Lepisosteus oculatus: one gene and its partner. The protein of the gene in region 1 interacts with the protein of each later gene in a biochemical or structural test. Links are inferred from orthologs where the notes say so. Each region holds a gene or a part of one and is shown in the gene's direction. Other genes may lie near its edges.

Region 1 (8,387 bases):
TGGGGGTGCTCTTACTTGGAGCAGGTAGTCCTGGGTGTGGGGGTGTCGGGGTGTGGGGGTGCTCTTACTTGGAGCGGGTAGTTCTGGGTGTGGGGGTGTCGGGGTGTGGGGGTGCTCTTACTTGGAGCGGGTAGTTCTGGGTGTGGGGGTGTCAGGGTGTGGGGGCGCTCTTACTTGGAGCAGGTAGTTCTGGGTGTGGGGGTGCTCTTACTTGGAGCAGGTAGTTCTGGGTGTGGGGGTGTCAGGGTGTGGGGGTGCTCTTACTTGGAGCAGGTAGTTCTGGGTGTGGGGGTGTCAGGGTGTGGGGGTGCTCTTACTTGGAGCAGGTAGTTCTGGGTGTGGGGGTGTCAGGGTGTGGGGGTGCTCTTACTTGGAGCAGGTAGTTCTGGGTGTGGGGGTGTCAGGGTGTGGGGGTGCTCTTACTTGGAGCAGGTAGTTCTGGGTGTGGGGGTGCTCTTACTTGGAGCAGGTAGTCCTGGGTGTGGGGGTGTCAGGGTGTGGGGGTGCTCTTACTTGGAGCGGGTAGTTCTGGGTGTGGGGGTGTCGGGGTGTGGGGGTGCTCTTACTTGGAGCAGGTAGTCCTGGGTGTGGGGGTGTCGGGGTGTGGGGGTGCTCTTACTTGGGGACCTCCCGCAGGTAGTTCTGGTAGCCGCTGGTGTTCTTGCCGTACTGGATCTGCTTCTGCCGGCGCTTCAGAACCGCCTCGTTGGTCTCACAGCGGGACGGGTCCAGGGCCCGGGAGCAGGGGGCGCCGTCGGGCTGGGGGCTGCGGAGAGGACGGGGAGGCCGAGGGGGGGGGCCCCCGCACGGTGTCAGGGCAGACGAGAGGGGAGCAGGAGAGCCAGCTGGACGTGCAGAGCGGACCCCTCCTCCTCCTCACCTCCCAGCCCGGTCCAGGTCCTCAGTCCCCACGGCGACGCTGGCAGTGGACAGCCTCAGGATACAGCGCTCCAGAATGGACGCTCTGCGGGGACGGAGACAGCAGGTTGTGACCCGGGCGGGACATCCCGCTGGGGGGCTCTGCTCAGCTCCTGGCCTGACACACACACACACACACACACACACACACCACACACACCAGGGCACCCCAACAGCTGCGCTGCTCTCAGACTGAGAAGACCCCACTGCTCAGGTGCTAACAGGTCACTTCAACTCCAGGGACTCCAGGGGGCGCTGTGTTCAGCTGGGAGCGCCCCCTCTCTGCAGGGCGCCTCGTTTCCCCCGCCTCGCACCCCGCACGAACCTACACATCCTCCGCCCCGATCGCACCCCCGACTGCCAACGCCACGCCTCAGGACAGGGGTAGCCCCAAGTCCAGACCGGCACGGGCGCCCCCTGCTGGCGAGACGGCATACCTGTGAGGTTTGTGGGGGACGCCCCCCTGGTCAGACTCTCCGGTCATCCTGCACTGGGGCTGCGCCGCCTCCGAGGAGCTGCTACAGGGAGCAACAGAGAATGAGGGACCTCAGTAGTGCCCCACGCCCCCCCTTTTCTCACACAGCAGGCAGAGGGCTAGGCAGAGCCACACAGACACTCGAGGACACCCCAAGCGCCTGTCCGCAGCTGCCTCGGAGAAAAACACTCCGAGCTGGGAGAGGCTGCTTGTGAGACCGGGAGAGATGTAGGGTTGACACATCGTGGTCACTGGGGTCATCTGCCGGACACTGAGGAAGCGAGGAAACAGGCCAGCAGAGAGAGGACGCAGGGTCAACAGCGCAGGATCTAAACCAAGTCGAACCCTGTCGAAACTGCGTCACACTCCAGCAAGACCTCAATGAGAGCTGAGGACGGTTCTGGTCACCAGGTTATTTCAGCGCCACACTCTCGAAGACAAGATGCTCCGGAGACGAGTAACGACTTCCTTTCACAGGCTCGGAGGCCTGTCCTGCAGCGACTGGGTCCAGCGACAGATTCCGTAGTCTTAAACAGAAGACCGCAGACCTGAATCAAGCACCCCCAAATCCTGAAAGACTCCGACAGTCAACCAGGGGGACTTCAGAACCAGAGAAGCAAACCAGAGAACACCAGTGGAAGCTACAGGGAAGAGCATGTAGCACTGAGAAGTGGAGGCACTTTACACAGAGGGTGGTGGGAGTGTGGAACAAGCTGATACCCTGGATTCTTACAAGCTTATTTAGCTTTTGGCCTCTAATAAGCTTTTGGAGTTAGATCTTCCTCCTGAGCCCGAGTCTGTGCAGAGAAGTGCCCAGGAGTGGGTCAGCGCCCCTCACCTCACCAGCCTGTTGTACACGGAGCTGCAGCCCGGGAGCAGCCAGGGCTCTGGCATGCAGGTCTGGGGCAGCGGGTCCCAACAGGCCAGGTCCAGGTCTAGGGCACCGGGCCAGGCCGGTACCGGCCACAGCCTGCAGGAGGAAGCGCAGGGGAGACAGTTAGACGGCAGTGCCTTGCCGACACAGGGACCGGCGGAACGGGCGGAGACAACGCCACCTCTCCCCCGGGCACTTCCGGGGGGAGGGCTCGCGGGCCGTGACGCAGACGGAGCGGGCGCGCGCTGTCCCGAGAACACGCCCCGGGACAGACCGCAGCTCGTCCGCGCGCCGGCCCGCCCGCCCGCGCCTCCAGAAACCGGATCGGGAATCAACTCGTCACTCGGCGCAAGAAACGCGTGCACACGCAAGCGCTCCAGACCTGTGGTCCGGCGGGCTTGGCGAAGCGGGGTGAAAGCTGCTGGTCATGCTGTTCGGGGCTATAGTAACAGCCAAACTGATCTGCCGCCGCCTGGGGGCTTAAATACCCGCCAGGTGACCGGGGGCGGGGCTCCGCGCGGGTGGACACAGGAAGCAGGGCTGGACTTCCGCTTTGGCGACACTCAGTCCAACCAATAAAAACTGAGAGTCTGAGCTCGAATTTGTGCGGGTTGTTTTATTAACAAGAGCCGCTAGGAAAATGAAGAGTTTCTTTAATAGTGTTTTATAATTAGCATATTTATACGAAGCAAGAGGAGATATGTCACTGAACTGTATCAGAAATTAAATAAGATGTAAGGAATGTTTCATTTAGCCGGGTGAGTTTAGTAAACGTGTTGACAAAGTCCGGTTTTTGGCTTTCACGGAAGCACAGTTGGTTTATATCGGGGTTTATAAGTATATCAACATATCTTCTATTAGTTAACCTTCTCCGGGGCAGTTTAAATCAAATTTAATCTGGCTTTGTGGTTAAGAGCTCGGCTCATAGAGCAGACTCACGCAAAAAAAAAATGCCGTCACTTTTCATCAGGCTCCAGCTGACGTTAGAGTTTTCGGAGAGAATTAAAGTTTTGAGATCGCCATTTACAGATTGCTGATCATTTTTATTTGAAAGATGTCTTATCTGCAGACAGAGTATACTCTACACTGACTACCTTAAGCCCATGCACTGTTTGTACTGCTCGTACATATAGCATGTCAATATTGAGCACTGGCCATGTAGCTTCTGTTCCCTGTAGCTATGTACTCTGATCAAAGCTTTTTTTTCCAGTGGGATTTCCTGATGTAGTAGGTGCTCTGGACTATCCTCATTACACCCCCCCCACAGGGCCAAACAAGGCTGCTTTTATTAGAAGAAAAACAATTCACAGTGTTGATGTACAAGTAAAAAAAATAAAATTCCAGACTCAGAAATATAAATATATTGATCACAAAAAGACAATCCTGTCAGTCAGTTCCATTGAAAGACATCTCTAAACGTGTGACTGCAGTGGGTGTTAGCTAGTCTTAGGAGCTCATCATGCAGTTTCCTGAGTATCAGGTGATCTGTGATGCATGATGTACATGACTCTCACATTTTCAGACGGTCCACGCTGTAGCTATAAATCTGAGCAAAGGTATTGAACACACACAACCATTGATCTTAAGTACAGTTTGTTGTGAAGCAATTTGTTTCATTAATCTACATTTCAGCACCACCTTACTGACCCAAATCGACCCTGATCCGGGTCCGAGAGACCAGGCCCACTTCAATGAGGCTGTTGCAAGGCCAGTAGCCCAGGCTGAGGTGCCCCTGGAGCTCCTGCAGTCAGAGCTCATGGTGTTGCTGGGGTGGGGGATCCCCAGACGGGGCGTGTGACATCACTGCTGCAGGTGCTGTGCTGCTCAACACTGCCCCCCAGGGGAGGGAGACAGTCCCTCCCCTACCCCCCCGTACCCCGATGGTCAACAGGGCGGCAGAGCTGGGAGACACATCACAGCTCAACAACATTCTAGTGAAAACAAAGGTTTTTAAGATATATTTTTTTCTCATTCCATTTAGGTTGTTTTTTCCCCACCCCCAATTATAATTGGGTCGCATTTTTATCTTAAGACTTTCTGCAACTTGGGGGGGAAACAGACTCAACTGTAAGCCCCCCCCCGAAGATGTTGGAAAAGACAGTGTCGCAGAAAAGGAATCCATTCTTTGTTGTGCTGATGACGGTTCCTCCTCGTCCAGTCCTACTCTGCACACACCTCCTCTCTTGGCTAAAATCACGCAACAGGTTCACTGCAGTTCACGCTGCAGTTTTCAGGACCGCTGTGGGTGATACCCTTGCATTTTGTCCTGACCTGCTGTTAAAAGTTTGAACCCACTTATCGAGTTAATTCAATAAAAATCACCCTTTGGTTGGAAACCACCCGTGGATCTGTCTCTGATTCATTGTTATTCCTACAGATAACAACGCGTGGGAGTCTGCAAAACACGAATTACATTTAGGCAGCATTTTTCTTGAAGGAGCTCTCTTTAAACTGACTCTTTATGTCGTTAAACGTACAGATATTCCGCGTGTTTTAACTACATAACACAAAAACCACGAACAAACATCACGGGCCGTATGATACTTCTCCAGCGTGGTTGAGCTTTCCGGCCAATAGCCTTCAGCGCCGTAGCTCTCCAGCCCCTCCTTCCTCGGGGCACGCTTTGATGGACAGCAGAATGGACCAGTAGACCTGCAGCGTCCGGAAACGCTGTCGTGAGCGTGCTTTGACTCACGTTTCGCGGACGTCGTGCTGCGGAGCGTGATCCGTGATTGGCGGATCGCAGCGCGTGAAATTTAAAATCCTGTGTTGGGGAGTTTGGGGGAATGTAATGGAGGGTTTTACAGGAAAGGAGGGATTGTTACGGAATCGCAAGCTTAAGATTAGTAGATAAGAAAATATAAATTTTCCATCAAGTATTAAGATGCATTTAAACATAATTTCGTTCATTTGTTAGCACGATGTCTGAAATGCACCGGGTTTTTTTTGCTATCAAGAGGAAAGGGGCAGCACTGAAGACCTATGTGTTGTAACTACAGCACCACTTTCTGCTCTGTATTAGCGTTCGCCTGGAGTTTTATTCCAACCGAGAGACGCAATCCGAGCGCAGGGCGCCGTGTGTCCTTATTCTTTCGCAGTCGGCGTGAGAGGGAGCGGGCGAGGGTCGCAGGCAGGCGCGAGACGCCCGGTTCCGGCTGCCGACGGTTCGAGAATCGCCTGCGCCGCGAGCAACGCAGCAGGAAAGCGGTCTCGGGGAAACACGCGCAGGAGAGGGACCCGAGCCCCGGCCGCAGCGCAGGGCGCCGCCGAGTCAGGATGAGCGAGGGCCTGTCCTTCCGCGCCGGCTGCCGGATGCTGCTCAGCCTGGCGAGAGAGGGGGAGGCCGGCTCCCCGGAGCGCCTGCTGTCCCCGGTATCCGAGCTCACGCACAGCCTCGGCAGCCTGAACGCCTTCCAGAGCGGGTGAGTGCAGGTCCGGCCTCCCCCGTCCCCCGTGCCCCGCGCCCCGGGCAATAACCTCCTCGCCCGTGTCTTTCAGAGACACCCCCCGGCGGTGTCTGGACCTGTCGGGCCTCAGCGACGGCGACGCCCCGATCCCGGCGCACAGCGGTCAGTCCGTCCTGTCCACCCGAGCCGAGCCGGCTGTCTCCCCGGCGCCTCCTGTCTCCGTCCTCATGTCTGTCTGCGTTTGTGTCTCCCCAGACCAGCTGCTTTCCCCCCGCGGTCCCCCAGACTCTCCGGCCCCGAGGTAACTCCTTCCAGTGTCTGCTGACCGCCGCCGAGTCTCTCTCTGGCCCCGCTGTCCACATCTGGCTCTCTCTCTCTGGCCCCGCTGTCCACATCTGGGTCTCTCTCTCTCTGGCCCCGCTGTCCACATCTGGGTCTCTCTCTCTCTGGCCCCGCTGTCCACATCTGGGTCTCTCTCTCTCTGGCCCCGCTGTCCACATCTGGGTCTCTCTCTCTCTGGCCCCGCTGTCCACATCTGGGTCTCTCTCTCTCTGGCCCCGCTGTCCACATCTGGGTCTCTCTCTCTCTGGCCCCGCTGTCCACATCTGGGTCTCTCTCTCTCTGGCCCCGCTGTCCACATCTGGGTCTCTCTCTCTCTGGCCCCGCTGTCCACATCTGGGTCTCTCTCTCTCTGGCCCCGCTGTCCACAGCCGGGTCTATCTGTACGTGATTGTAACTTTTTAATCCAGTTTTGCTTTCTTCTGTCTTCCCAGTTTCCCCCAGAAAGTGACCCCCGACTCGGAGAAAAACAAGTGAGTGTGTGGGGGCAGAGGGGAGGGGGCGGCAGTGGGGAGGAGGGGGTGAGATGGGATGGGCGGACATTACAGATCAAGTAAAAGCTGAAATGACAGGTTCGACAGAGAGAGCACTGATGGTCAGTAACATGCCGCATGGCCCACACTGGGCCCTAGACAGTATGGCTGATGTCCTTCTCCTGTTCCTTAAGTAGTGTCCGTGACTGTAGTAAACTGTGAAGCCGGGAGTGGATCAGGAGTCTCACTGACAGCCCTGCTGAGGCTCTGGAAGGCAGCGCCCGAGTCTCGCTCCGTCACGAGTATCCTTCTCAGCCCGGCCTCTGCCGGCGACTCTTCGCTCCGAACGGGGTCGTTAACGAGGCGTTCGGTTCCCTGCCGGGCCGTCGCTGTGGTTGCCCGGCTGGCCGCGTGCTTGGCCCGACGGGTCGGGTGGCCAAGCGGGTCTGTGGATGACCGGTCGTCTGCTCGGCCTCATGCCTGCTGTTCTCTCTCTCTTCCAGGAAGGGCCATATGAAGCGCTTGAAGTCCATGCTGGTAAGAGATCAGCCCCCTCTCTAGGCCAGGGGTTCGGGTTCCTGCAGTCGGCTCCCTGAGTCACCTTGTCCCCGAGATCTGGGTCCTGGGCTGTGCTATTTCACTAAGAATTATAATGCTTAATAATTCCATACACTTATATAGCGCTTTCCTGGATACTGCACTCAGAGTGCTCTACAGGTAAGGGGGATCCCCTGCACCACCACCAGTGTGCAGCCCCACCTGGATGATGCTCCAGTGTGCTCACCACACACCAGCTCTCAGTGGGGAGGAGAACAGAGTGATGAAGCCAGCTCAGAGATGGGGATTATCAGGAGGCCATCATGGGTAAAGGCCAGGGGGGAATTTGGCCAGGATGCCGGGGTAACACCCCTACTCTTTTTCAGAAACGACTTGGGGTTTTTAATGACCACAGAGAGTCAAGACCTTGGTTTTACCTCTCGTCTGAAGGACAGTGCATTTTTTGCAGTATGTCCCTGTCACTATACTGGGGTGTTAGGACCCACATAGTCCAGTGGGTGAGTGCCCCCTGCTGGCCCCTCTCACACCTTTCCAGCAGCAACCTTAGCTTTCCCAGGAGGTCTCCCCTCCACACCTGCTGGGCTTCAGCGGGCTGCTAGTGTGAGCTGCGGGGTGATAAGTCTGCTGGCTATCTAACTGTCATCTGCTAATCGTGCCACCTGGATGAACGTGTGTCACTCCTGTTCACTGCTCTCTGTGTTTCTGTTTCTCAGCCCAGGTTGCTGTGCAGCAGCCCTAAGGTCGGCTCAGGCGGTCTCAGCCCCGGCGCGCGGGGCCCCAGCAGTCCCTGTTTCAACAACAAGGAGAATGTGAGTGCGGCCTTGTGTTTCTCTGGTTGTCCAGGAGAGTGTTCTGAGGTTCTCAATCTTGGGGAAAATGCAAATTGAAGCGCAGACTACACAGCACAACTGCATTGTTTCATCAGACCTAGGTAACTTAAGACGAACGTAAACACAAAAGTATAATTTTCTCATTATAATTATAGAATTCTAATGTTAGGTGTAAAGAACTGGTCTTCTTCAGCGATTCTGAGCAGGGTTGCGAGACCAGATTTTGAGAACCAAAGGGTGCAGCTGCAGTACTGGTTAGGACCCAGTGTCTCTGGGAGAAGCCTGTGCCTTGCTGTAGTTCTCCATGTGGGCACCAGAGGGTAGTGTTGGCTGTGCTATAGGCCACAGTCTCATCCAGAGCCACAGGCCTCCCTGAGATGAGGTTTTGTGCAGGTTCTATCCCGAACACTGCAGGGCACACTGGTAAAGGGCATTGTTGACCTATAGCAGTGTTTACTGATGGAGCTCCCAGAAATTTGAAATCAACCTTTTCTCTGCCCCGGACCCGTGGTT
Region 2 (8,266 bases), about 14 Mb from region 1:
ATTTAAAGGTCTGTGATTGATAGGAACTGTATATGTAGCACTCATTAATCAGGTTGTATTACAGGAGCAGATTTTTTAATTCTGATATTTAAGATGATAAAGTTGGCACAGGTTCCTGCAACTCCTTTACCACAGAAAACATATTTCACTATATTTCTAGAAATATAATGCCAGATGTTTCAATCAGCTTCCATGTCTAAAGTTTCTGTGAACCATGAGGCCAGCCTGTATTTACAAGAGTGTCAGACGAACCCAGGAGTCTGCCTGTGTGGAAAACAGGCCAGAGATGCATTTGGGTTCATCTTCACTTTCCTTTCAGTGGGCTATGTGCTTACCACTTAGAGAATAGAGAAATGGATGGGGTCCCCAAACCTGTTCCTGGGAACCCCCTCACCCCCCATGCTTTCTGATGTTTGTTCCAGCTACGCTCCTTTCCACAACTGAACTTGTTTTTGATTCCTAAACATGTTGAGAGGCTGCTTTGTAACAAAGATACCCACCTTTTGAGTAAAATAAAAGTGCAGTTTCCAGTTAAGCAGTTTGTTAGCTAAAGGTGGGGAACCCCTGAGATATGGAATAGTTCCAGAGTCTACAGCCCTGATTCTAGCAAGATGTACTTCTGCAGGTTTTATAATATAGTAGGTAAAGTCCATACTCCAACACAGCGTTTCATTGGGACGGAGCTCAGCCTTACTTTTGCAATTCCTGTAGCATTGAATAGACTAAGTAACCCACATTGTGATGCTGGTCCCCACTTATACAGCTGAGGTGAGGTACCTCACTTTAGCAGTGTCTGCAATAGAGACCTGAACCCAGCCTGTCAATTATAAGTCCAGAAGCTTACCCAGTACTCCTTTGCAGGTTTTATAGGTAGACTTAAAATCTCAAAACCATGTTAATGCTTTCTAATTAAGATATTCAGAACGTAGCTGGAACAAAACCACTAAATAACACTGCCCAGCACAGACAAACCAAGTCCATAAAGACCATGTTGTATATAAATACCAGATTTTATTTTTAAAACAATATCAAAACAAAATATTTAGCAGAACAAAAGCCTGATGTTGAGACAATTTACTTCCTAATCATTAACAATGGAAAAAAATGTATCTTTGCTGCTTCAATACAAACTTGCATGTTCAGAAAGGGTTTACATCTGCGAGTTCAGCAAGGACTGAGGAATTTTACCATCCCTAAAGCAATTTGTGGCTCAGTATGTCTACTGGTAATACAGCTCCAGGTTCATTCCATCATGGATTTCATCTGTTTAGAGAAGCAAAATTAAGGAAAAAAGCACATTATGCCCTTGATGGGGCTCTGCTGCTTACATGCTTAGAACCAAAGCACTACTACTATAACAGAATGGAGGCTGAATCACAGGCTGCACAATAGATCAAAGGAAAAATCTGATAAGTCTTTGCAAATCCCCAGTCATGTTTTGCAACTAAATTAGTTTAATGTACAGTAAGTATTCACAACCTGCAATAGAAACTGTTAATCAACCTGTCAAATCCAAAGGTTGTTAAATAACCTTACTGAACATTTTCTCATCCCAGAGCCTGGCACTAAGGAGTCTTGATTGGGATGCTCTGGATAATTCATTTAAGACACAAGGTGCCAATGCTGATGTCTGAAATCACAGATGTGTGCAAGCTTCACAAAACTGACATGGTCACGTGCAGTTTGTGCTGCAAGTTGGGCTGAAATTTTACAGGTTCCTGGGTTCCTAGGATCTCCTGCTCACCAGTCTAAACAGCCTGTATTCATTATGCAAGCAAAAGCACCTCAAGGCTTTCAGCGGACCTTTCAAAATGCAAGAACCCAGCCTGCCCTGCCTGCACAACCATCACTCGATTAAACCAATCAATTCCATAACAGTTACTTTGCATTTGATCTCAATGGGATACATAATAGTTTTGCCACTTTTACTGCAGAAATTCATCACCAAATGCTAATGCTAGCTGTATGTATTTAGTTCAGCAAACTGGGCCAATGGATTATGCCAACAGCCATATCACCCTGCAACTCACAACTGGCAAACCACTAAAGCTAAGCAGGGGTGAGCATGATCAGTAACTGCATGTGAAACTAAGGTTTCTGCTGGAATAGGTATTAGAGAGGCCAGCAGGGGACGCTCACCCTGCAGTCTGTGAGGGTCTTAATGTCCCAGTATAGTGACGGGGACACTGTAATGTAGGAAGACACCATCCTTCGGATGGGACATAAAACTGAGGTACTGACTCGGTGGTCATTAAAAATCCCAGGGCGTTTCTTGAAACGTTTAGGGGTGTTACCCTGGTGTCCTGGCCAGAATTCCTCCTTTACCAATCATGGCCTCCTAATAATCCCCATGCCTGAACTGGCTTCATCACTCTGTTCTCCTCCCCCGAGAGCTGGTGTGTGGCGAGTGTACTGACACGCTATGGCTGCTGTAACATCATCCAGGTGGGGCTGCACACTGGTGGTGGTGGTGGTGGAGGGGAGTCCCCAATACTTAAACATTAAGTGGAGTGTCCAGAAAAGTGCAAGGAATTATTCAGAACAGGGAGGCTCATCTTAAACCTGATTGATATACCTTTACTTTATACATTCAAACAAAACGATTAAAAAAAAGGATACAGTCTCCTAACGATACATGGTCCTTGAATATAGTGTACCTGCAATGACAGAATTTAAGAGACAGGATTAAAAATGTTTTCAGTTGTGAAACAAAGCATTGAAAATGCTACTGGGTGAAAAAAAGACATCCTTCAAAACATTTAATATGCTTCTTACACTAAATGAAAGAAAGCTAACATTCTTTTACATGTCTTGGACATTCCAAGTGTATTGATAGGGAACAAAGGCATAAGGTGTTCACTACTCTGTTATCTTTACAGGTTTCTCCAAAATCCCATACTGCAGTCCCCTGTGACAGAATGACCTGTTTTTTCTGCAGAAAGGATAAATAAGTACTTGTCAATTTACCAATCTAGACCACTTTATCCTTGAGATACACACACAAATGCCCTAAAGGTACACATTAAAACAGCTTTTTGCAGTTCGGTATTCAAAGCATCCTCACCATTTCTTCAAGACGATTTTATCCCACCTGGTACCAGTCTGAGCAGCTATCAACTTCTTCAAGTCTCCGATCGTGTCGTCAGGGCTGGGCGCAGGAGTTAAGTGGAAACTTCAGAACTGGACACAAAGCCTCGTCTGAATAAGCTTTTTAGTCAAACCTCCTCTAGAAACAACTTCTCTAAAACTAGTGACCAGCAAATATGACAGTTGGAAGAGGAAAAGTTGGTTGAAGGAAAAACAGACTGGTTTCATTAACCGAAGAGGAAAACAACATCAAGACTGAAGCGGTAACTAAAAATAAAACTTTCTTTAGATAGATCACATATATTATTGTATTCCAGGTGAGGAAGCTAGCTTTTACTGAACGGCGTTAGGACACCGAGCTTTCACATTGGAGGCACAAATAGTGCAGTCAGCGTTTGTTTTTAGTTTTGAGACACTTGTTTTAACGCAATTACTGCCATCAAGGATACTTGCACTTCACCCTGACCTTCTTGCCCAGACGGTCGTTACACACCACTTCAATCATTGCGAGGCCGGAACCTGGAAATAAAGACGCAGAGCGCTTACAGTCGCAGCTGGGATCATGGCACAGACACGCTTGTAGTTCCTACAGCTACACGAATGTTATTTGCCGTCACAACTCTTCTTGTGCCGCAATGCCGATCCCTATGAGAATGAAACTGCTGCAGTCATGCATGATCTAATCACCCCCTCCTCGACGCTATCTGAATTAGAGACAACATTAATTTACCTGCACGTTTATTTACTTTACGGCACAATGCTGTGAACATCTTAAATGAGACTTTCCTTAGCTATGGAATGTCCTGAACACACTATAAAATGACAGCACTTTGTAAAGATCGCGATAAAATAGATCTACCTTTTGTTTCAACTAATCCACTTTAAATAATACACTTCTCTTCGCCCACCGAAAAAAATAACAGAATACCATACCAACACTGGCAGGAAGGATACCCGCTCTAAAACGGAAAAGGAAAGGACATTAACCAATGATAGACTACTTTCGGAATCTGACAGATGTATATGTTAGCCAATCCCTGTGTTCTTTTAATCCTGAAAGGCGGGGATTTGAGCATGTTAGTTTTCTGCCGTAAAGTGTATTAGATTAACGTGAATAACATCTCGTTTTGCGGGTAAATTGCAACTAACGCCATTTTGGCTCAGTCGTGTAACGTCCATCAGATGCTAAAATGTATCGAGTTGGAAGCCAACATGGCGGACACACAGACACAGCTTCACTTTAGTGTCTTTCTCTTAAAAACCTTAATGTCCATAACTACATTTTCGGCAATATTGTTGTTTCCAAAATCAGATAAAGACCGCGACATACAACTATTATAAATTAATTTTAATAGTGTTTAGATAAATTAACTAATTGTATAAAAGCAAGCCGTAGAAATTGCATATTAAAGGCAATACACCAGTAGATATGAACCGGCACCACCAGTTATTTGCAATGCGAACAACACAATGCAGTAGTTTTTTTTGTAGTTTGTATTCATTGCGGGCGCGGGCTTTTTTTTCCCTGGGAGACCAAATAGTGACAGCCCTTACTGCCCCCGACTATCCGTGTTGTCGAATAGGGTGGTAGGAAAAGCTGCCCGTCACTTTCGAGGCGGCCAGTTATAAAAGTAGTTTGTGTGAGAAGAGGGGGAGTTGGCCTCTGGTGTGCGCAGAGAAAATGGCAGACGACGAGAATTTACCTGCGGGGTGGGAGAAGCGAATGAGCCGCAGTTCAGGTAAATGAAACCCAGGCTCACCGAGATTATAATAACAAAGGGGCGGAAATCTTTTTGGTTGTTTTTTTTAACCCTGGGCGCTCCCAAATTGTAAACTTTTTTATTTATAAAAAAAAGTCCGTTATGCGCTAGCATTCGGATCCTGAAGAGCAGACTCTGATCACAATTAAAATTGTTAAGTAAGGCTGCAAATAATGTTTTTTTTAATTTCCCCCGCCGTGCAAAATGTTTGTTCACACGCACTGTGGGGTGCAGGAGATAGTTTCGTGTTTTGAATGCGTTGCGAATGAGTTGCTTAGAAAGCAACGGTGCAGAGCTTCTTTTTTGCGCCTTTGCCGAAAGAGGGTTTAAAATTGTGCCAAGCCGTCATTGATGGGGAAATATGAGTCTGTGGTTTTGCTTTTAAGCACATTTTTAAAATGAAAACACAAGAAAAGGGAAACGTTTTGAAAACGGGGAGGAGGGGGGCGGGGGTTATAAATCGCCCAAAACGCCCACTCCTTCAAACGTCCAGGCCAAGTCAGTCTCCTGTCCGGTTTTTTTCCCGTAATAAACAGGCTCATAAGATCGATTCGAAGGTTTGTTGACGGAAATGACCTTCCGTCGGGCGCAGCACATCCTTCGGTTTCTGTGTTTGTTTTGACGGATTCGTCTTCTGCGTCACGGCAGCAATGGGACCGCAATGGACGTGCGGGATAATGCCTCTTGGCTTCCAGACAGTCCAGTCACCTGCTTTCCGAATTGGGGAGACAAACTCAGTGTAATCAAAATACAGTTTGAGAAAGAGGACATCACTCGGTCCGGTCCAGGTCCGGTTCATTACCTATGACTCCTCTTGACTGGGAGCTCGTTACTGATGTGTACAATACACTTACACGCAGTCGTTGTGTTAGGGCACTCTGGAAGCTTTTAATTTTTATAAAGCTGTATGGGAGTTCAATACTTGGAATGCCCTTTATAAAAAGTATTTCTTCCTTTTTTTTAGGCTGCCCTCATATCTTTTTTTTTTTTTTTAGTGGTCTTATTTTCATTGGTTTCTGGCTTCTAGCTCACTCCTGATGTTCTCTCTCTCCCCCTGCAGGTCGGGTGTACTACTTCAATCACATCACCAACGCCAGCCAATGGGAGAGGCCCACTGGGGCCGGGGATGGCAAGGGGGAGCCCGAGAAGGTGCGCTGCTCCCACCTGCTGGTCAAGCACAACCAGTCCCGCCGGCCGTCGTCTTGGCGACAGGAGACCGTCACCCGGACGAAGGAGGAGGCCCTGGAACTCATACACCGTGAGCAGCCCAGGCCCGAGACTCGGGGCCCTCTCCGCCTATTAGCATGTGCATGCGCAGCTCTTGAGTCCTGCACACAGCAAAACTGACTCCTGTCCTGAGCCCCGCTGCGTTAGAATATGGCCATAAGAACAGTTACAAACGGGGGGTGGGGGAGAGGGAGAGCATTCAGCCCATCTAGCTAGCTTGATTGTCAGTAGCCAGTAATCCATGGATCTCAGCCAGCAGTTTCTTGCAAGAAGCCAAGAGGAATTGGCTTCAACAGCACGGCAGGGCAGCTTGTTCCATACTCCCACCACCCTTTGGGTAAAGAAGTGCCTCCTGTTCTTGGTTTTGTGTGCACTTCCCCTGGTTCGGGTTTCGCTGTTCAATGTGAAGAGCACCACTGGGCTGACTTTGTTGACGCCTTTGAAGATTTTGAAAGTCTGTATTGTTCCTTTTTGGTCTTCTCTGAAGACCTCAAAAGGTTCAGTTAATAATAATAATAATTGCTTACACTTATATAGCGCTTTTCTGGACACTCCACTCAAAGCGCTTTACAGGTAATGGGGACTCCTGTCCACCACCACCATGTGCAGCATCCACAGTTCCTTCAGCCCATCAGTGTCGGACGTTTCCTTAATCCCTGGAATAGATTTGGTTGGTCTTCTTTTTGATGTTTATCTTCTGGAGGAAGCCATCCTAGTAGAATTACCAGGAATAGAGTGCAAGACTGTGACAAATCACTGGGCACAAAAAAGAGGAGGCACAGGCATATCAGTATTTGGCAACATCTAAGTCAAAGAGTTCAAGTGAGCATTTAGTAAGTTGAGTGTTCTTAACTCTGCAGCTCTTACTTATGTCTCCTGAAATCACGTTTTTACTTGCAAATAAAACGCCGCTGCTCCATAGTCATGTACCGTTTTGAGGATGTCAGCGTTTGTGAGGAGGTCGCTCTGCTTTTCCTCTCCTTTCTCCAGGCCCTCAGGCCCCCTCGTAGTCTTACTGTCTCCCTCCCTTTTTCCTTTCCCAGAGTACATCGAGAAGATCAAGTCCGGGGAGGAGGAGTTTGAGAGCCTGGCGTCCCAGTTCAGCGACTGCAGCTCGGCGCGCAATGGCGGAGACCTGGGCACGTTCGGCCGAGGTGAGTCCCTGTCTGTCGCTGTCCTTCCGACTCCACGCCTCACGGCAGAGGTGCAGCGGTTCAGTGAGAAGTGAAACTGTGACGCTGGATCGTGATCCCTCTTTGGTCTTTTAGGACCAAGGACTTCTTTGTGTTTCTCCGTAAGGACTGTTGTGCTCACAGTCAGTCTGTGTAGGAGTATGTGAAGGCTAATTCCTTCTTCAGGCTTGACAGCCAAAACGTTTTCCTCTTTCTGTTTTTCAGGGCGGAGTTAAGCTCTACTTGTCCCTTTGCAGCCAGAGCAAGCTGACGTAGCTCCCCGCTCAGTCATCTATATAGAGATGTTACTTTGTAATGACAATCGCATTTTCAAGTGTGCTTTTGGCCCGAGAAGGAGGTGGGGATGATCAGTAACTTGAGTACGGTGGAGCGCAGGTGATGCCGGTCCTTATTTTGGCAGGAAGTGTTGAGCTCGTGTAATCGGCCTTCCTCCGTTTTCTTCAGCTGGCCGACTGGCGTGCCGCGCTGTTAATGAGATCAACGAAGAACCCCCAGAAATGGAGATCCAGAATTAGGAATGACGTATATCTTTTTTTTTTCTAAAAAAAAATTTCTCTCCCCTGCAATTGCAGGCCAGATGCAGAAGCCGTTTGAGGACGCCTCCTTCGCACTGAAAGTGGGCGACATGAGCGGGCCGGTGTTCACGGACTCGGGGGTCCACATCATCCTGCGTACGGGATGAGACCACTCCCCCACCCCTCTCCCCCCCACCAAATATAACAACCACAACCGACACCACCTCTCTCCCCCGTCTCCCCCTTCCCCTCCCCCTCCCACCTGACCTGGGTAAAATAAGAATGGATAAAAAAAACCAACGAAGGAGCACACACTCCCTATCCCTGATTCCCTCCCCCCCCCCACACTCAAAGAAAAAAAAACCCTTCCCATATCTGCTGCTTCTGACATCATTTTCACACTGTTTGTTTACTGCTGAGCCGCTCAGCATGGCCAACCCCTCCCCCCCCTTCCCTTCCCCGCAGTGTGTGGGCTCAAGAACCT

What was found. The genes of interacting proteins can lie anywhere in the genome.
Region 2: the proteins of M-phase inducer phosphatase 1-B (region 1) and pin1 interact in a test that uses a peptide from one of them, tested with the Homo sapiens proteins (2 studies listed by BioGRID, with this or other methods). The link is inferred for Lepisosteus oculatus from reciprocal best matches to the Homo sapiens genes CDC25C and PIN1.

Annotation. Positions count from the first base shown.
Region 1 is NC_090706.1:29,487,863-29,496,249, forward strand, and holds the start of M-phase inducer phosphatase 1-B, read left to right. Parts: upstream 1-5,023; 5' UTR 5,024-5,249; coding exon 5,250-5,689; intron 5,690-5,765; coding exon 5,766-5,836; intron 5,837-5,929; coding exon 5,930-5,975; intron 5,976-6,447; coding exon 6,448-6,486; intron 6,487-6,989; coding exon 6,990-7,023; intron 7,024-7,757; coding exon 7,758-7,853; intron 7,854-8,387. Other genes in the region: slbp2 (stem-loop binding protein 2), read right to left, coding at 620-766, 881-964, 1,356-1,436, 2,232-2,363, 2,650-2,696. UniProt on the Homo sapiens protein: Functions as a dosage-dependent inducer in mitotic control. Tyrosine protein phosphatase required for progression of the cell cycle. When phosphorylated, highly effective in activating G2 cells into prophase.
Region 2 is NC_090706.1:15,084,004-15,092,269, reverse strand, and holds the start of pin1 (peptidyl-prolyl cis-trans isomerase NIMA-interacting 1), read left to right. Parts: upstream 1-4,693; 5' UTR 4,694-4,768; coding exon 4,769-4,826; intron 4,827-5,907; coding exon 5,908-6,105; intron 6,106-7,117; coding exon 7,118-7,228; intron 7,229-7,839; coding exon 7,840-7,949; 3' UTR 7,950-8,266. UniProt on the Homo sapiens protein: Peptidyl-prolyl cis/trans isomerase (PPIase) that binds to and isomerizes specific phosphorylated Ser/Thr-Pro (pSer/Thr-Pro) motifs.